3 linked regions of the Ovis aries genome follow. The protein of the gene in region 1 interacts with the protein of each later gene in a pairwise test. Links are inferred from orthologs where the notes say so. Each region holds a gene or a part of one and is shown in the gene's direction. Other genes may lie near its edges.

Region 1 (5,317 bases):
ATTTCTTTTTCTACTTTCTCATTATTCGTGTATAGGAATGCAAGGGATTTCTGTGTGTTGATTTTATATCCTGCAACTTTACTATATTCATTGATTAGCTCTAGTAATTTTCTGGTGGAGTCTTTAGGGTTTTCCATTTTTTAAAAAGTAATTTTTATGATGGTGTCTACACTTTCTTAGAGCAAATATCAGACACTGATTGCCATGTCTGTTGGGCTTGTTAGTGTGTTTATATGCAGTATTTCATACAAGTAGAAAATTACATCAGGTTTAAAGGTTCACCAAACGTCCTTTAAATGAATGAGATAACATTGCATGAATTTGAGGCTTTCCAGGAAAATGTGGGGCATGTTTTGTTGTGGTCACTTCTTTTTTTTTTAACATTTTATTTTATATTGGAGTATAGCTGATTAACAATGTTGTGATGGTTTCAGGTGGGCAGCAAAGGGATTCAGCCATACACATACATGTATCCATTCTTCCCCAAACTCCTACTGTATCCAGGCTGCCGCTTAACAATGAGCAGAGTCTCCTGTGCTGTACAGTAGGACCTTGTTGGATATCCATTTTAAATGGAGCAATGTGTACATGTCCATCCTTAACTCCCTAACTATCCCTTCTCTCCCTTCACCTGCCCTGGGGACCATAAGTTCCTTCTCTTTCAAGTCTGTGAGTCTGTTTCTGTTTTGTAAATAAGTTAATTTGTATCATTTCTTGTTAGATTCCACCTATAACAGATGTCATACAATATTTCTCCTTCTCTGACTGACTTCACTCAGGTTGACAATCTCTAGGTCCATCCATGTTGCTGCAAATGGCATTACTGCATTCTTTTTAATGGCTGAGGAATACTCCATTGTATGTCGGTAATCTTGTGGTCACTTCTTACTTTAAGCAAGTACCACATGCACTGGAAGGAAGGGGTGTGAGCCAGTGGCTGGGGGTTCAGAGAAGTGTCTGCTCAGGGTCTGGCCTTCCCTCCCACACATGCCCATGTGCCGCTTCCTGTCCAACGGGGCCTCCCCCACAGCCTCAAGCCCCTACCACAAGGCACAGTGTAGCTTTTGCTCCCCCACCCCCACCTGCCCCGCTTGGGCTTCCTCGAAGCCATAGGTGAATGTGCAGGGTGACCAAGACGCAGAGTCCTCCTCGAATTCTAGATTGTGATTGAATTTCAAGGCGGCTAAACCAGCTGTGGCGTAGTTTTCAGATCTCCCTGACACCACCTCTTGCTGCTGCTGCTAAGTCACTTCAGTCCTGTCCGACTCTATGCGACCCTATAGATGGCAGCTCACCAGGCTCCCCCATCCCTGGGATTCTCCAGGCAAGAACACTGGAGTGGGTTGCCATTTCCTTCTCCAATGCATGAAAGTGAAAAGTGAAAGTGAAGTAATTCAGTCGTGTCTGACTCTTAGTGACCCCATGGACTGCAGCCTAGCAGGCTCCTCCATCCATGGGATTTTCCAGGCAAGAGTACTGGCGTGGGGTGCCATTGCCTTCTCCAACACCACATCTTAGTGGGAGTTAACTCTGGACCTCAGCTTTGCTCCCTGGTCAGCTTGCAGGACCCTGGAGTGATCTGGGACGGGAACTGATGAGGGGAGAAGGCAGGGAGAAGTCAGGGGAAAAGCTAGAGGCTGCCCATCTATCTGTTCCTTCATTGGGAGCCACCAGCGTGCTTGCACGTGCCTGTTCCACCCAGATGCAGGGCTAAGGATGCAAGGAGCACTCAGGGACCCTGAGCGCAGGGGGACAGGCGACGTCACAGAGAGCTGCCAGGCCTGGGTCAGTGTCAATGGAGCACTGGGGCTGGGGAGCCAAGGTCAGAAAAGGACGAGGCGTGGGGACGGAAACACTCCAAGTGTGGATGGCTGAGTGTGAGGTGTGGGGGGACAACGTTTCAACAACAGAGGCAGCCTGAGCCGAGGTAGACGGGCAGATGTGCCTTGCACAGCTTTGGAAACAGAGTGGACCAGGTTCCTTGGAGGGGCGATTTCATGGCTGGGAATAGTGCGGGGTGAGACTGAAGGTTCCAGAGTTAATGTCTGACCAGTTGAAGTTGTTGCGTCGGTTGTTCAGTCGTGTCTGACTCTTTGAGGCTCTGTGGACTGTAGCCCCCACCCCAGGCTCCTCGGTCCATGGGATTCTCCAGGCTGCAAGGATACTGGACTGGGTTGCCATGCCCTTCTCCAGGGGATCTTCCCAACCCAGGGATTGAACCCAGGTCTCCTGCACTGCAGGTAGATTCTTGACCATTTGAGGCACCAGGAAAACCCAGTGAGTTTCTGAGCTTCAAATTAGGATGCTTCCTGGCAGATGGCAGTATTTGGAAGTGATTCTGGAAATTGGGACCACCAGTGAAGAGTATGTGGACTACAGGCCTGTTTGGATGCTGCGCGGGCAATGACGTACATGTGGTGTCAGGTTCCAGTATCCAATACCACACAGGCTAGCGGGGGCTCCTGTACATGTGCTCAAGAAACCATTTCCTGCAGCCTAGGCCCCCGGCCACCGGGCCAGGAGGAACCCCTAGTGCTGGCCGGAGAGCTGGGCTTCCTTTCCCCCAGGTCTTCAGGCAGGGGAGGAGGACCCTTCAGTCTGAGGAGGACTACATCACCGCCCCAGCCATTTAGGGAAGGAGTCCCTGAACCCCAGAACCTTCCTGGAGCTGGTTCCTTTCTTTCCAGGTGCAGGTGCCAACCTCTCTGCACAGTGAGCAGCAGGACTCCCTCCTTCTCTCCACCTACTCGCAACAGCCAGGGACCCTGGGCTACCCAACACCGGGGCCCGCGCGCCCAGCCCGAAGGGTCAGCAGCCTGTCTGAGTCCTCAGGCTTCCAGCAGCCGCCTCGGTAGTGGCTGGGCACCTTGGTTGGGTCACATCAGCTTTAACCAATGGACGGACGAGGGGGCAGGTGGCCAAGGAGTTGGGGAGAAGAGTTGAAAGGACACCCCAACTTCCGTGCACGCCGCATCCATTTCAGAGCTCCTGGGTGGTGACCATGTCCGAGGGCGGCGGCCAGCGTGGACATGAGTGAGCAGGGAAGCTGGCCCTGTTTCTCCTTTCCCTGTGCTTCACAGCCACAGTCTACAACCATACCCAGACAGACCGTCCGCGGTCCCCAGCGGAGCGCATCAGTGCATCACTCTGTTCAGCTTAGACACGGAGCGTCTCTGCTGGATCGCCCCTCCCCCCAGCGTGGACCAGTCTGCGCCACGTGCCCATGGGCTCATTGGCCTTCACTCTCCTGACCCTCTTTCCTCGGAGAAGCACCCGGTCAGCGATGTCTTGAAAGGAAAGAAGAGATGATTTTTTTTTCTCTCATTATTTTTAGATGATCGTTTCTGTCTTAATTTGCACAGCTGCACAAGGAGATAACTTAGGCACTTTCCTTTTTTTTTTAAATCAAGTCTCCTGACTTCACGCGGAGACCCCAGTAACAAAAACAGCCCACCAATCAGAAAGCAAAGCTGGGCATTATTAACCAGACTGCAGCCCCTCACCTCCCACCCTCCCGCCTAAACCCTAATGGAATGAGACTCTTCTCCCCACACCGTTCTGGTGATCAGCTTTTTTTTTTTTCTTATCCTGAATGTAACACTGGACTGTTTTCTGTTGACTTCCCGGTGATTGCGACTACAAACATGGACTCAAGGCAGAGTACAATTAATTCTGCAGGTGACGTTCTGGGATTTCGACAGGACTCGAGGACTGTGAAAGGGAAGGTTTTACAGGCCAGGCAGGACCCCAGGAAACCCCCCTCCCCCCATGCTGGCCCTCAGCGTGAGGGTGCCGCAGCTTTCTACACATCTTTCCTGACCAAGACCCAGGAGTGGATTTTCCTTTTCAAAAATGCACTTTGCTTTTTTTGTATGTTTTGTTGAGATGTTTCTAAAGAGAAGATTTTATGTAATTATAAGACGAAGTGTAGTGAATTGTACAGCCGTTGTAATAAGGAACTATTTCTATATAAAATAAAATTGTATGGATTCTGTGTAAATTATTTTGTATCTGAGACACCAGTTCCTTTCCCAAAATATAAAAGGATAAAAGTTTTCTTGTGTATTTCTGTGAGTGGACATTTTGTAATAAATTAACAAATTTGTATAATTTCCTTTTGAGGCAGTTTCTGTACCTTGTTCTTGATGCATTCATACCTCTCTTCGTCAGTAAACTTTTTTTTAATTTCAACACGTTTCTAAGGATAATCAAAAATGCAGAAAAGGTGGGAGCGAGCAACCAACAATCTGGGTAATGGCCTTAGGTTTTTTGAGCTCACATGCCTCTCAGCCTATTGGGATCCTGATCTTTATTTTAAAGACTGTGCCAGAAGAAATCAATGGTTCTTTTAGAAATGATAGCAAAACAAAATGACAAAACCAGAAAAAGTTCCTGGAAATATCTCTAACTTAAGAGACATGGGTAATCCATAGAGATGACCAAGCCATTATCCACAGAAGCAGGTATAGCCCATAAGTAAACTCACCTGGGCTAGGGTTGCATGGCCTCTTGCTTGCCAGCACTTACGCAGCAGTGATGCACCCAGGGTTTGTGTGTCTGTATGGGAGACCTGTGCACACGCCATGTGGATAGGGGAGATACAGCAGACGGCACCCCCTTTTCCATGAGGCTTCAGCACGCTGGCGTGAGGGTGCGCTGGCACACTGAGACTGAGAATCACTGAGATGGCAACACTCAGCAGAGCGCGGTCAGAGAGAACCAAGTTCCCCTGCTTGTTCCGTCACTGGGGCTCTGTGTTTCTACCTGCCTCCCTGTAAAAGAGAGAAAACCTCTCTCCATTCTCTGGCCAGGATCAGTTTTCAGCGGCCTAAGAGGCTGCCACGTAAATACATCAAAAGGAGTTTTAATTATTCACACACACAATTGTGATATGAATTACATGAAAAAAAGGTAAGTCTAAATATTTTGCATATCTTAGGATCATTTACTCTCAGGAATCCAAAATGGGCCCTTTTTAAAACAAAAATTCTGTGTGACACTAGATAACCTATTTTGTAATTTAACTGTTTGGTAAATTCAAAGGTTTCCAGATCTCATATTTCTGTAAAAGAATTTGAATTTTAATTGGCTGTCAGAATCTGCACTTCTAAATAGAACAAATTTTTAACGGAAACAGCATATTTGTTGTGCTAGGATTTTCCAGCTGGAAGCCATTAGAAGAGGGTGGACTATGTCATGCTGCTAAATTAATTTAGTATTGCTTAAACTTTACACATGTTCACAGTCTGGGTAAACTCAGAAAACTCTTATTGAGTACATTTCTTTAAACCCACATAACATCAGGGGAAGTTTAATC
Region 2 (5,690 bases), about 88 Mb from region 1:
TCTAACTGCCTTAAAAAAAAGAAAAAAAACTAGCAATCTGATTTATACATCAGACTGTTGTTTTTCCAGTAGTCATGTGTGGGTGTAAGAGTTGGACTATAAAGAAAGCTGAGCACTGAATAATTGATGTTTTTGAGCTGTGATGTTGGAGAAGACTCTTGATTACAAGGAGATCCAACCAGTCCATCCTAAAGGAAATCAGTCCTGAATATTCACTGGAAGGACTGATGCGGAAGCTGAAACTCCAATACTTTGGCCACCTGATGCGAAGAACTGACTCATTGGAAAAGACCTGATGCTGGGAAAGAGTGAAGGCAGGAGGAGAAGGGGACAACAGAGGATGAGGTGGTTGGATGGCATCACCACTCAATGCACATGAGTTTGAGCAAGCTCCAGGAGTTGGTGATGGACAGGGAGGCCTGGTGTACTGCAGTCTCTGGAGTCGCAAAGAGTGGGACATGACTGAGTGACTGAACTATATGATCTAACTGCCAAGCACTCCAGGCCACTTGGACCAGCTGGTCCAATTGTTCTACCTTCCGTAGGAATGTCTACTTGGGTAATAAATTCAGAAGCGAGTGATCACTGTGGGCTTCACATGTGAAGTAGAGTGTCTGCCAGTTTAGAGCAGAGATGAGGAGGAAGGCATTTCAGGTTTGGAGAGGGAATCTTGGAAGTTAGGGAGTAAAAGGCAATTAGCTAGCTTGGCCAGGGAACTGAATTTATAGAGAAGAGGTAGTGATTTCCAGGTGATGAGACCATGCAAACAAAGTCATGGGCCAAGGAATGCTCTGCATGTGGGGAGAAGTGAAATGCCAAGCAGGAGGTGTACCAAGTCGGGTTTGGTTTACCAATAGTATGGTAATTTTTTTAAGACAGTATGGTAAATTTCTGAGTCACATCATGAGATCATAGGTATTCTGTGTCTTTTATATTATTCTGTAATATAATATTTTTACTTTTACCAATGAAAGTGAAAGTGAAAAGTGTCTAACTCATTGCGACCCCATGGCCTATACAGTCCATGGAATTCTCCAGGCCAGAATACTGGAGTGGGTAGCCTTTCCCTTTTCCAGGGAATCTTCCCAACCCAGGGATCAAATCCAGGTCTCCCTCATTGCAGGTGGATTCTTTACCAGCTGAGCTACAAGGAGCTACAAGAATACTGGAGTGGGTAGCCTATCCCTTCTCCAGCAGATCTTCCTGACCCAGAAATCAAACTGGGGTCTCCTGCATTGCAGGTGGATTCTTTACCAACTGAGTTACCCAGGAAGCCCACTCTTTTTTTCTTTACCACTTTTACCAATGATTAAGTTTAAATAAAATGTTAGTTATTAGGTGTGTGTATGTGATTTATGTGTATCCGATTTTGGGTCTGTGTGTATGTACCTTTTTTTTGTCTACAAGTTTTACTCTGCTTTTAACACTAAGGTAACTTCACCCAGTGTAGTTGATATATCCAAGCTTAAGAAAAAGCCACTTTAACCAAAGAAACAGTATCATTTGTTTGTTTGAGGAAACATAGCAATAACATGACACTGATTTTAAATGAACTTCTGCCTTATAAATAGGCTAGTTTGATTGGACAAAGCTTATTTGACTTCTTACATCCAAAAGATGTTTCCAAAGTAAAGGAACAACTTTCTTCCTCTGATATTTCACCCAGAGAGAAGCTAAGAGATGCCAAAGGTAAGTACTCATTTCAGCCTTCTTATCATTTTATGGAAATATAATTTTTACTTAAAAGTATAGCAATAGAGTTTTTTGAAAAGCTAGCTAATTATAGTTTTATCAAGGGGAGAATTATTTAATAACTTTGTAATCATCAACCTCAGTTTTTAAAATATCACTGTGTAGAGAATGCATGTATCAAAGTAAATATATGAAGATGTTTTTGGGAAAATGTGATTACTTCATATTCTCTAGCTTTCATATGCTAACAAAATCTTTATTGGAAAGTGCCATTTGGGATAAAAAAAGTTGCCGGAGTTTTTTTATTATTTAGTTCTTTGCGAAGGGATAACTATTCTCTTTCTCAAATGTGTTAGGTCTTCTCAATGTGAAACACCTTGTATAATTGTTCTTGGGAAGTATACATATTCTGTGTCTTTTCCAGAAATACTTCTTTTCTCTGAAACTGCTTATTGCGTAATAATTGTTTATTATATAAAATAATGATGTTTTATGCCACTGATACTATTTTAGTTAAGTTTTTTCATGTAATTTTTATTTCATTGAAGTTATCTTTACTATCTGCCCCCCTGGGAAAAAATATAAAGATAAATTGCAAATGATTATATTTCTTGGTGTGTTTCACTTTGGGGTTTACTGTACAATGATGTCAATAACCATAGATGACCAGAACACATGAGGAAATACATTTTGAAATTATTTGAAAACATTTTCTTCCTATTCTCTTGCCTCCTTGCACTATGAAAGCTGCTTTGCAAGTTCACAGTAATTTCCACACAAGTAAGAGTCATGTGTATTCTGGCTCAAGACGATCTTTTTTCTGTCGAATCAAGAGCTGCAAAATCTCTGTCAAAGAAGAGCACGAATACTTACCCAACTCAAAGAAGAAAGGTATCATCTTTTTTTTTTTTTTGAGAGATTACTCTAATTTTGTTGTTTATATAACTGCTTTAAAAATTTTTTTTCACATATTATAAAGTATTTTTTAAACTTTATTATTATTATTTATTTTACAATATTGTATTGGTTTTGCCATACATCAACATGAATCCAACATGGTGTACATGTGTTCCCAATTCTGAACCCATCACACACCTCCCTCCCCCCGCCATCCCTCTGGGTCATCCCAGCACACCAGCCCCAAGCATTCTGCATCCTGCATTGAACCTGGACTGGCGATTCATTTCTTATATGATATTATACATGTTTCAATGCCATCCTCCCAAATCATCCCACCCTCTCCCTCTCCCACAGAGTCCAAAAGACTGTTCTATACATCTGTGTCTCTTTTGCTGTCTCGCATACAGGGTTATCATTACCATCTTTCTAAATTCCATATATATGTGTTAGTATACCGTATTGGTGTTTTTCTTTCTGGCTTACTTCACTCTGTATAATCGGCTCCAGTTTCATCCACCTCATTAGAACTGATTCAAATGTATTCTTTTTAATGGCTGAGTAATACTCCATTGTGTATATGTACCACGGCTTTCTTATCCATTCGTCTGCTGATGGACATCTAGGTTGCTTCCACGTCCTGGCTATTATAAACAGTGCTGCGATGAACATTGGGGTACATGTGTCTCTTTCAATTCTGGTTTCTTCAGTGTGTATGCCCAGCAGTGGGATTGCTGGGTCATAAGGCAGTTCTATTTGCAATTTTTTAAGGAATCTCCACACTGTTCTCCATAGTGGCTCTACTAGTTTGCATTCCCACCAACAGTGTAAGAGAGTTCCCTTTTCTCCACACCCTCTCCAGCATTTATTGCTTGTAGACTTTTGGATAGCAACCATTCTGACTGGCATGAAATGGTACCTCATTGTGGTTTTGATTTGCATTTCTCTGATAATGAGTGATCTTGAGCATCTTTTCATGTGTTTGTTAGCTATCTGTATGTCTTCTTTGGAGAAATGTCTATTTAGTTCTTTGGCCCATTTTTTGATTGGGTCGTTTATTTTTCTGGAATTGAGCTGCAGGAGTTGCTTGTATATTTTTGAGATTAGTTGTTTGTCAGTTGCTTCATTTGCTGTTATTTTCTCCCATCCAAAGGCTGTCTTTTCACCCTGCTTATAGTTTCCTTTGTTGTGCAGAAGCTTTTAATTTTAATTAGGTCCCATTTGTTTATTTTTGCTTTTATTTCCAGTATTCTGGGAGGTAGGTCATAGAGGATCCTGCTGTGATTTATGTCGGAGAGTGAAATATCAAGTGATTTGATGCATGGATATAAAATTAATGTCCTAATATTTTCTATATTAAAAAATAAGTTGTATGGTCAAGGTAGGCTATGGTTTTTCCAGTATTCAGGTATGGATCTGAGTGTTGGACTTTAAAGAAAGCTGAGCACTGAAGAATTGATGCTTTTGAACTGTGGTGTTAGAGAAGACTCTTAAAAGTCCTTTGGACTGCAAAGAGATCCAATAAGTCCATCCTAAAGGAAATCAGTCCTGAATGTTCATTGGAAGGACTGATGTTGAAGCTGAAACTCCAATACTTTGGCCACGTGATGCAAAGAACTGACTCACTGGAAAAGACCCTGATGCTGGGAAAGATTGAAGGTGGGAGAAGGGGGCGATAGAGGATGAGATGGTTGGATGGCATCACTGACTCAATGGACATGAGTTTGGGTAAACTCCGGGAGTTCGTGATGGACAGGGAAGCCTGGCATGCTGCAGTCTATGGGGTTGCAAAGAGTCACACAACTGAGTGACTGAACTGAACTGTATGGTCAAGGCAAATACTGAGGTCAAAGGCATTCATTTATCCAATAATTATGGCTCTGGTGAATCAATTCCACGTTGAGTAGATCCAGTTGGAAATGAATCACCTAATCTACACAGCAATCCATATGAGAGAAAGCATGGCAGCCCATTCAGCCACCTCAACACAGCTGAAATCTCTGATGTTTGATGCAAGTCGTAACTTGAGTAGAGGCTAACACTGTCAAGATTTGTAAGTCTTTTAAGGATTGCCAAATTAGTTTATCTCTCCTTCTGGGAAAAGCAGATTCTCCACATGTACTTATTCAGTACTAATAAATATTTCAGTCATCTCTTTGTCATGGTGCATGGCTAGTGCCCAGTATAGCCATTTAACTTCTGTAAAACCGGATCTCACCCCCTGGCCAGCAGTTTACTCTTTGCTTCTAAACCTTGCAACTCCACAAGGTTGATTTTCAACCTGTCTCTTCTTTTTGAGAACCATTGCTTTAAACTCTAAGTATGAGATTCTCTGGGCTTCCCAGGTGGCTCAGCAGTAAAGAATTCGCCAGTAATGCAGGAGATGTGGTTTCAGTCTCTGGGTCAGGAAGATCCTCTGGAGTAGGAAATGGTAACCTACTCCTATCTTCTTGCCTGGAGAATCCCATGGGCAACAGAGCACGGTGGGCTACAGGCCATAGGGTAGCCAAGAGTCAGACATAACTGAAGCGACCTAGCACACATGCACACGTGGGCTGAATTGTGTCCCTGAAATTCATATGCTGAAGCCTGATGTGGTATTATTGAGGTAGGACCTTTGAGACATAATTAGATTTAGATGAAGTCTTGAGGGTGGGGCCCTCATGCTATATTTAGCACCCTTCTAAGAGGGGAACCCAGAAGATCTGTAGTCTGTGAGCATACAGTGAGATGATAGCTGTCTGCAAGCCAGAAGTCAACTATGCTGCCATCCTGATATCAGAACTCCAGGTTCCAGAACTGTGAGGAGTTAAATTTCTGTTAAGCCACTCAGCCTGTAGTGCTTATTATGGGGGGCCCAGCTGAGCAAGACAGCAAACAACTTGGATCATTTTCTCTATGGTAATTCTCCTAAGTATTTCTGAAAAGGCTCTGCAGTGGGAACCAAAGGAATCTGGGCTTTGCTGAAAATAAATGTATGTTTAGTAAATTGGCATATTACAGTTTATCTTGAAAAATGGAACTACAAGTCACAAATCGGTGGTAGGACTCTACCTTGTCTAGGCTTGTCCTATCTTTCACCTTGAATTTTCATTTCAGTT
Region 3 (5,690 bases), on another chromosome or scaffold:
CCCAGCTCACTAACCACATTTCAAGTATCAGTAGTCACATGTGGCTTCCCTGGTGGCTCAGCTATAAAGAATCTGCCTGCCAGGGCAGGAGATGCAGGTTCAATCCATGGGTCAGGAGGATCCCCTGGAGAGGGGAATGGCACCCCACTCCAGTATTCTTGCCTGAGAAATCCCATAGACGGAGGAGCCTGGTAGGCTGCAGTCCATGGGATCACAAAGGATTGGATACAACTTAGCGACTAAACAGCAGCAACAGTGGCTAATGGTACCTGAACAGAACATTTCTGTCTTCACAAAAAGTTCTGCTGGACAACACTGATCTAGTCTGGTCTCATTCTTTATGGCTGATGAACAGAGGCTCAGCCTGAAGACCAGCCCCCTCCGAGATTCGTAACTCATTGGCCGTAGACCTGGGCTAAGAACCCAAATTTCCACTGCTCTCTGCTGCTTCCTTACAAGTATCCACAGGCTAGCAATTTTTCTGGCCACTGGAAATAGCCAGTCACTAAATACTAGAAAAGGAGGCAGCCGCTTCTCAAGGTCCCTGTGGGCCCCACGACTGGGGCTTCTGGTCACTCTGATAAAAAGCAGGCAGTAAATTGGAGAAGTTTTGACCTGGAGTTTAGAGTCCTATCACTTTTTTTTAATCTAAAAGTTACTACTTTTAAACCTAAAATTTGATGTCTTGTGCTAACAGCCCCTTTGAAAGTCTTTGCTTTCTCTCTCTGTTTTTATAACCCCGATTAAAGTCAGCTTCATGAGAAAGAACAAAACCCATGTAATAAGCCCTCTGAACCCCCCCAGCTTTGACCTTGTTTTCATTGGCTGTAGCAGGAGTCATCCACTGCAGAGATCTGTTAATTGTCTGAATGTTATTTTATTTAAAAAAAAATTTTTTTTCTCCCTTTTAGGGCAACAGCTATTTTGGCATATCTACCACAAGAACTTCTAGGCACGTCGTGTTATGAGTATTTCCACCAAGATGACATAGGACATCTCGCAGAATGTCATAGGCAAGGTTAGCTGCTGGGCTGTACACCAGTTCTGAAGTTTCAAGTGTCCTCCTTCTAGACATGTCCATGGACCCTTGCAGAGAAATCTGCCCCTGTGAGGTGGGAGTCAGCCAGCCCAGGGACCTGCAGGCCAGAATGTCTGGGAGGAGAGGGTGCTGCTCCTTCCCCCAGGCCTCATCTACCCCCTTCCAGATAACCGCCCACCCCGACTGCCTAGTAGATCTCTACATGGGCTGGAGCAATTTCTGGAAGGCACCTCTGGTTCAGAGGGTTTCCCTGGACTATGTAAAGATTTAGTGTGGCCCAAGCGGATCTAATTTCCTACAAATCCCTGCACCGCCTCCTGCATTTTCCTCTTGGTTAATGACGTGGCCACGTACATAGCCTCCTGAGACAGCAGCCAACATTGACTCCCTTCTTTACTCTTTCCTCCGTCGGAACTGTTCATTCATCTCAGCCATGCATCTCCAAGGAGGCCCCTTTCTGCCAAGCCCCTGATGCAGCCCTGGTACCCACCTGATAATTGTGATGGACTTGCCTCTGCCCCGCCAGTCCATCTTCTATTGCTGTCCCGCTTATGCTCTGACAGACTGAGCCTGACAGTCACATCTGTGCTCAAAACCCCCTGCGCAGTCACCTTTGACAGATGCTCAAGACCCTCCACGTCCTGGCCCTGAGCCACCTCCCCAGCTTCACCTCCCGACCCAGTCCCTGTCTGCAGAGGCCTTGTCCTCCAGACGCACTGACATCTCACTGTTCCCACTCCCACCCCAGGCCCTGCCACTCCTCGGGTAGCACTGGGTTCTTCCCTCCTTCCTTTTGGCAAACTTGTATTCACCCCTGAAGGCTCTGATCTCCTCTGCGTAGCTGTCCCTCATTCCTCTCCTGAGGGTGCAAGTCATATCCTGTCTCCTCTTTTATCTCCAGTACTTGGCACATGAAGCATACTTGCTACATGTTTGTTACATGAAAGAATGAGGTTTCCATGGGTGAGATGCCATCTGAATCCGGATGTCCTCAGGCTTTATGATGGGGAGATTACATGGTCCCTGTGGACTGAGCCGCCTTGTGTGGCATTCACTTCATAGATGAATCCAGCTAGATGTCTAGAATGCACTGTTATTTCCTTTATTTCATACACTCTGAATAGTGACAGGTTCACAACCCAACTGGAAGGCTCAGAAATCAGGCCCTCAGAAACACCCTCTTCTCTGAAGTGCCACCTCCCATGGCTTATTAAAGAGGGGATGGCCTTGAAGCCTGAGCGCATTTAGGATTTGGTTATTTTAATGCATTGTTCTGAGGAAACAGCAATGTTCCTGGTTTCTTTATATTTTCAGTTTTACAGACAAGAGAAAAGATTACCACTAATTGCTACAAGTTTAAAATCAAAGATGGTTCTTTCATCACACTGCGGAGTCGGTGGTTCAGTTTCATGAACCCTTGGACCAAGGAAGTAGAATACATTGTCTCCACGAACACCGTTGTTTTGTAAGTGTCTCTCCTATTTCAGAAGCTCCCTTGCTTCAAGGAGGAATGCCTTGGGCCCCTTACCTGGGAAAGGCGGTACAGGCAACAGCCAGTATCCCATCCTTTACTGTCATCTTGCTAATATCCTGTGAAGCCTCAGGACTGGCAGAAGCCAGAAGGTGGCTAACAAAGGACACGCTTCAGTACTCAGAACTCTCAGGCCCCCAGCTGCTGGAAAGGCTCTCGGAGACAGCAGCCTTTCCTTCCTGACAAAGCAGCCAGCCTTTGAGTTCAAAGGCTCACCAGCCCATACGGTCCTTGGCGGAGGAGGGATGGGGATCTGTGCTCCCCAGGCTGGTGGCCTGAGCACTCACCGCTGCGGAATGCCGCCTCTAAGGCTGCCAGCTGCTGGGCGAGCAGGGAAGGGAAGGCCCCTCTCTGCCGGCTGCTCCCCGCATCTCCTTCCTGGTGATGTGCAACCCCCCACCCGTAGGTAGAGCTGACTGAGGGGCTGCGGTCGGTGCCCTGCTGGCCGCCTGGAGAGGAGCCTCGTGGCAGCGGCGGTGGCCGCTGCATCACCACCCCCGCGGGACCGCACCCCGCGTGCGCTAGGAAGGCCAGAGCCCCGGACACTGTCTGCCGTGTCCTCTGACAGCGAGGAGATGCACTGAGTCGCTCAGACACTTCGTTTTCTGGCCTGTCCAGGTCCAGAGTGGACACCGGACACCTTGGCCAAGGTGAAAGGTGCGCAGTTCTGGGCGGGCCTGACTCACGTTTCCTTGTTGCTGGGATGTTCACAGAGCCAACGTCCTGGAAGGCGGGGACCCCAGCTTCCCGCAGCTCACAGCGTCCCCCCACAGCATGGACAGCATGCTGCCCTCTGGAGAAGGTAACTATGTGCCACCGGGGCTGGGGCTTGCCTGTGAGGAGCTGCTTGTGGCCACCACCCCCTGCCCCAGTGCTTGGGGTCCCCAGCCACCATATTCTGCGGAACAAGGCGGGGCCCTCGCGGGAGTGATCACTAAGGACGCTGTCATCTCACTTTCTCTGTTGAGCTTGAAATGCTGGAAACTTGGTTTTGCCTTTCCTGAGGCTGCCTGGACCCTGGAAGCCCATGAAATGGCCGGCTCCTGGCTGTGTGTGCCTTCCTCCCACTGTGTTGCCCAGCAGCTGTGATGTGAAGGGCTCTTCCGTCACGGCCACTGGCTCCTGAGGTGGGAGGGGGGTGTTGCCAGCACCGCGGGGTGAGCCGTGCCGGGCCGTCGCCTGGGCACCTGACTCCTTCCTGGGCCTGCCTCTGCTTGCATGGCTTCAGTCCCCATCTCTTCATCGATGAATCCTACATCCGGTCCCTCCAGGTCTGTTCCTCCAGCTGCCTCCTGGAGTCCCAAAGGAGGCACCTATAACTCAGCATGTCCACGTCGGTTTTCGGTACAAGAGCAGCCCCCAACCCCCAACCTGGTTGGTTAAGCCAGAAGCCATGACTCCTACCGCTCTCCCATTATATGGAAACACGAAATCCTGCCCCTTCTATCTTTAAACCTCCCCATCACCACCTTCCCCATCTGTTGCCTGGATTATTGCAGGTAATTTCCCAGCCCTAGTCGCACGCTCCCCACTCTGCGCCCCTGTCCTCCACTACAGCTCGCTCCTGTGCAGCTCCTCTGAACCTCTCAGTAACCCCCATCTGAGGCAGTCCTTTGGTTATCCCCCGTGGGTACGGCTCAGATCTGTTAGGGTGGCATCCAGGGCCCTTCCTGGTCTGACCGGTATCTGCTTCTCCATTTCATCGCTCGCTCACTCCGTCGTCATCGCACTGAGTTTCTTGGTGTCATCTCCCAAGCTGTGCCCTCTTCAGTGCTCTTGTGTGCACTGGTGGCTGTGCCTGGAATGCTTTCCCTTCCTTTCCTCTCTGCCACCCTGATTTGTGCTCCTCTCACAAGACTCAGCTCAGTTAATCTCTTCCAGGAAATTGCACCTGGCCCCCCTGAATGCCTGGTGCCGCCCTGTCAAAGTTATCACAGTGTGCTCCAGCCCTTGTCTGTCTTACGTGTCTCCCTCTTAGACTGTGAGCTCCTTGAGGGCAGGGATGCCGACTTAATCTCTGTGCCCCTGGCCTGCAGCACAGTGGTGTTCAGTAAATGTATGTGGCGTGCATGAGTAAGTAGAGGCTATATATCAACATGTCTGATCCTGGAAGGAAACGTGAGCTTTTTCCTGCTGGAATGCCCTTTCCTGAAAAGCCATGGCTCTAGTGTCCTTCAGGCACAACCCTAAGGTTGAACGTCAATGGATCATGGGAAGAACTTGTTTTAATTCAACACGAAATAGGGTCTTCTCCCTCAGTTTTCCCCTTTCCGACTCTCAGATTCCTCTGTTGTAGGTGGCCCGAAGAGGATCCACCCCACTGTTCCAGGGATTCCAGGGGGAACCAGGGCTGGGGCAGGAAAAATAGGTCGAATGATTGCTGAGGAAATCATGGAAATCCACAGGCAAGTAACACCTAACTGTTCCCTTAAACCAGTGTTTTCCATGCTTCGGTATTTTGCCCCCCCTCCCCGCCGGAGATGATCTGTTGATGTCTGGAGACGGTTTTTGGTTGTCACAGCTGAGTGGGAGATTACTGCTAAACATCCAGGGGAGAGAGGACAGGGATGGTGCTTGCTAAACATTCTACAGGACGCAGGACAGCCCTCCCAACCCCTGACCTCTGAGAGAGAATTTTTCAGTCCAAAATGTCAGTAGTGTCGGGATTAAGAAGTAGTGCCTTTAAAAAGGCTAAACCTGAACAGGTCAGAGCTAAAGGGAACTCTAGGAGGCTCAACTTTATTACTTTGTGTACCACCCAAGGAGCTTTCCAGCAGATAGATGAGCACTAACATCACAGAGCTGCAGAAACAGAGCCCTGAACTGCCATGATCTGGGCCTGACACTTCCGGTCAAAAAGCTGCCTAGGATTAGTAATAGAGGCCAAGCTAATCAGCTCGTAATAGAAACTTGTGTGGGTGGGCCTTCTTTTCCATATGAAAGAGAAAGTAGTTTACCTGAGTTTGAGTCCTGGGCCTCTGTTTAGAAGAGTCACTCAACTTCTTGGACTCTTGATTTAAACCATAAAAGGAAGGCAATTATCTGTCTCCCCCAGATTGCTCTAGGACTGTGAGAGAACTCAGGAAAGTTCCTAGAACTGACATGTGGTGTCATGTAGCG

Evidence for each region.
Region 2: the proteins of NPAS2 (region 1) and BMAL2 interact in binary tests that used the Homo sapiens proteins (3 or more experiments, as listed by UniProt). The link is inferred for Ovis aries from reciprocal best matches to the Homo sapiens genes NPAS2 and BMAL2.
Region 3: the proteins of NPAS2 (region 1) and BMAL1 interact in binary tests that used the Homo sapiens proteins (3 or more experiments, as listed by UniProt). The link is inferred for Ovis aries from reciprocal best matches to the Homo sapiens genes NPAS2 and BMAL1.

Annotation. Positions count from the first base shown.
Region 1 is NC_056056.1:100,484,470-100,489,786, reverse strand, and holds the end of NPAS2 (neuronal PAS domain-containing protein 2), read left to right. Parts: intron 1-2,687; coding exon 2,688-2,855; 3' UTR 2,856-4,110; downstream 4,111-5,317. UniProt on the Homo sapiens protein: Transcriptional activator which forms a core component of the circadian clock.
Region 2 is NC_056056.1:188,081,958-188,087,647, reverse strand, and holds part of BMAL2 (basic helix-loop-helix ARNT-like protein 2), read left to right. Parts: intron 1-1,571; coding exon 1,572-1,689; intron 1,690-2,439; coding exon 2,440-2,583; intron 2,584-5,690. UniProt on the Homo sapiens protein: Transcriptional activator which forms a core component of the circadian clock.
Region 3 is NC_056068.1:39,061,255-39,066,944, reverse strand, and holds part of BMAL1 (basic helix-loop-helix ARNT-like protein 1), read left to right. Parts: intron 1-911; coding exon 912-1,018; intron 1,019-2,353; coding exon 2,354-2,504; intron 2,505-3,283; coding exon 3,284-3,372; intron 3,373-4,866; coding exon 4,867-4,975; intron 4,976-5,690. UniProt on the Homo sapiens protein: Transcriptional activator which forms a core component of the circadian clock.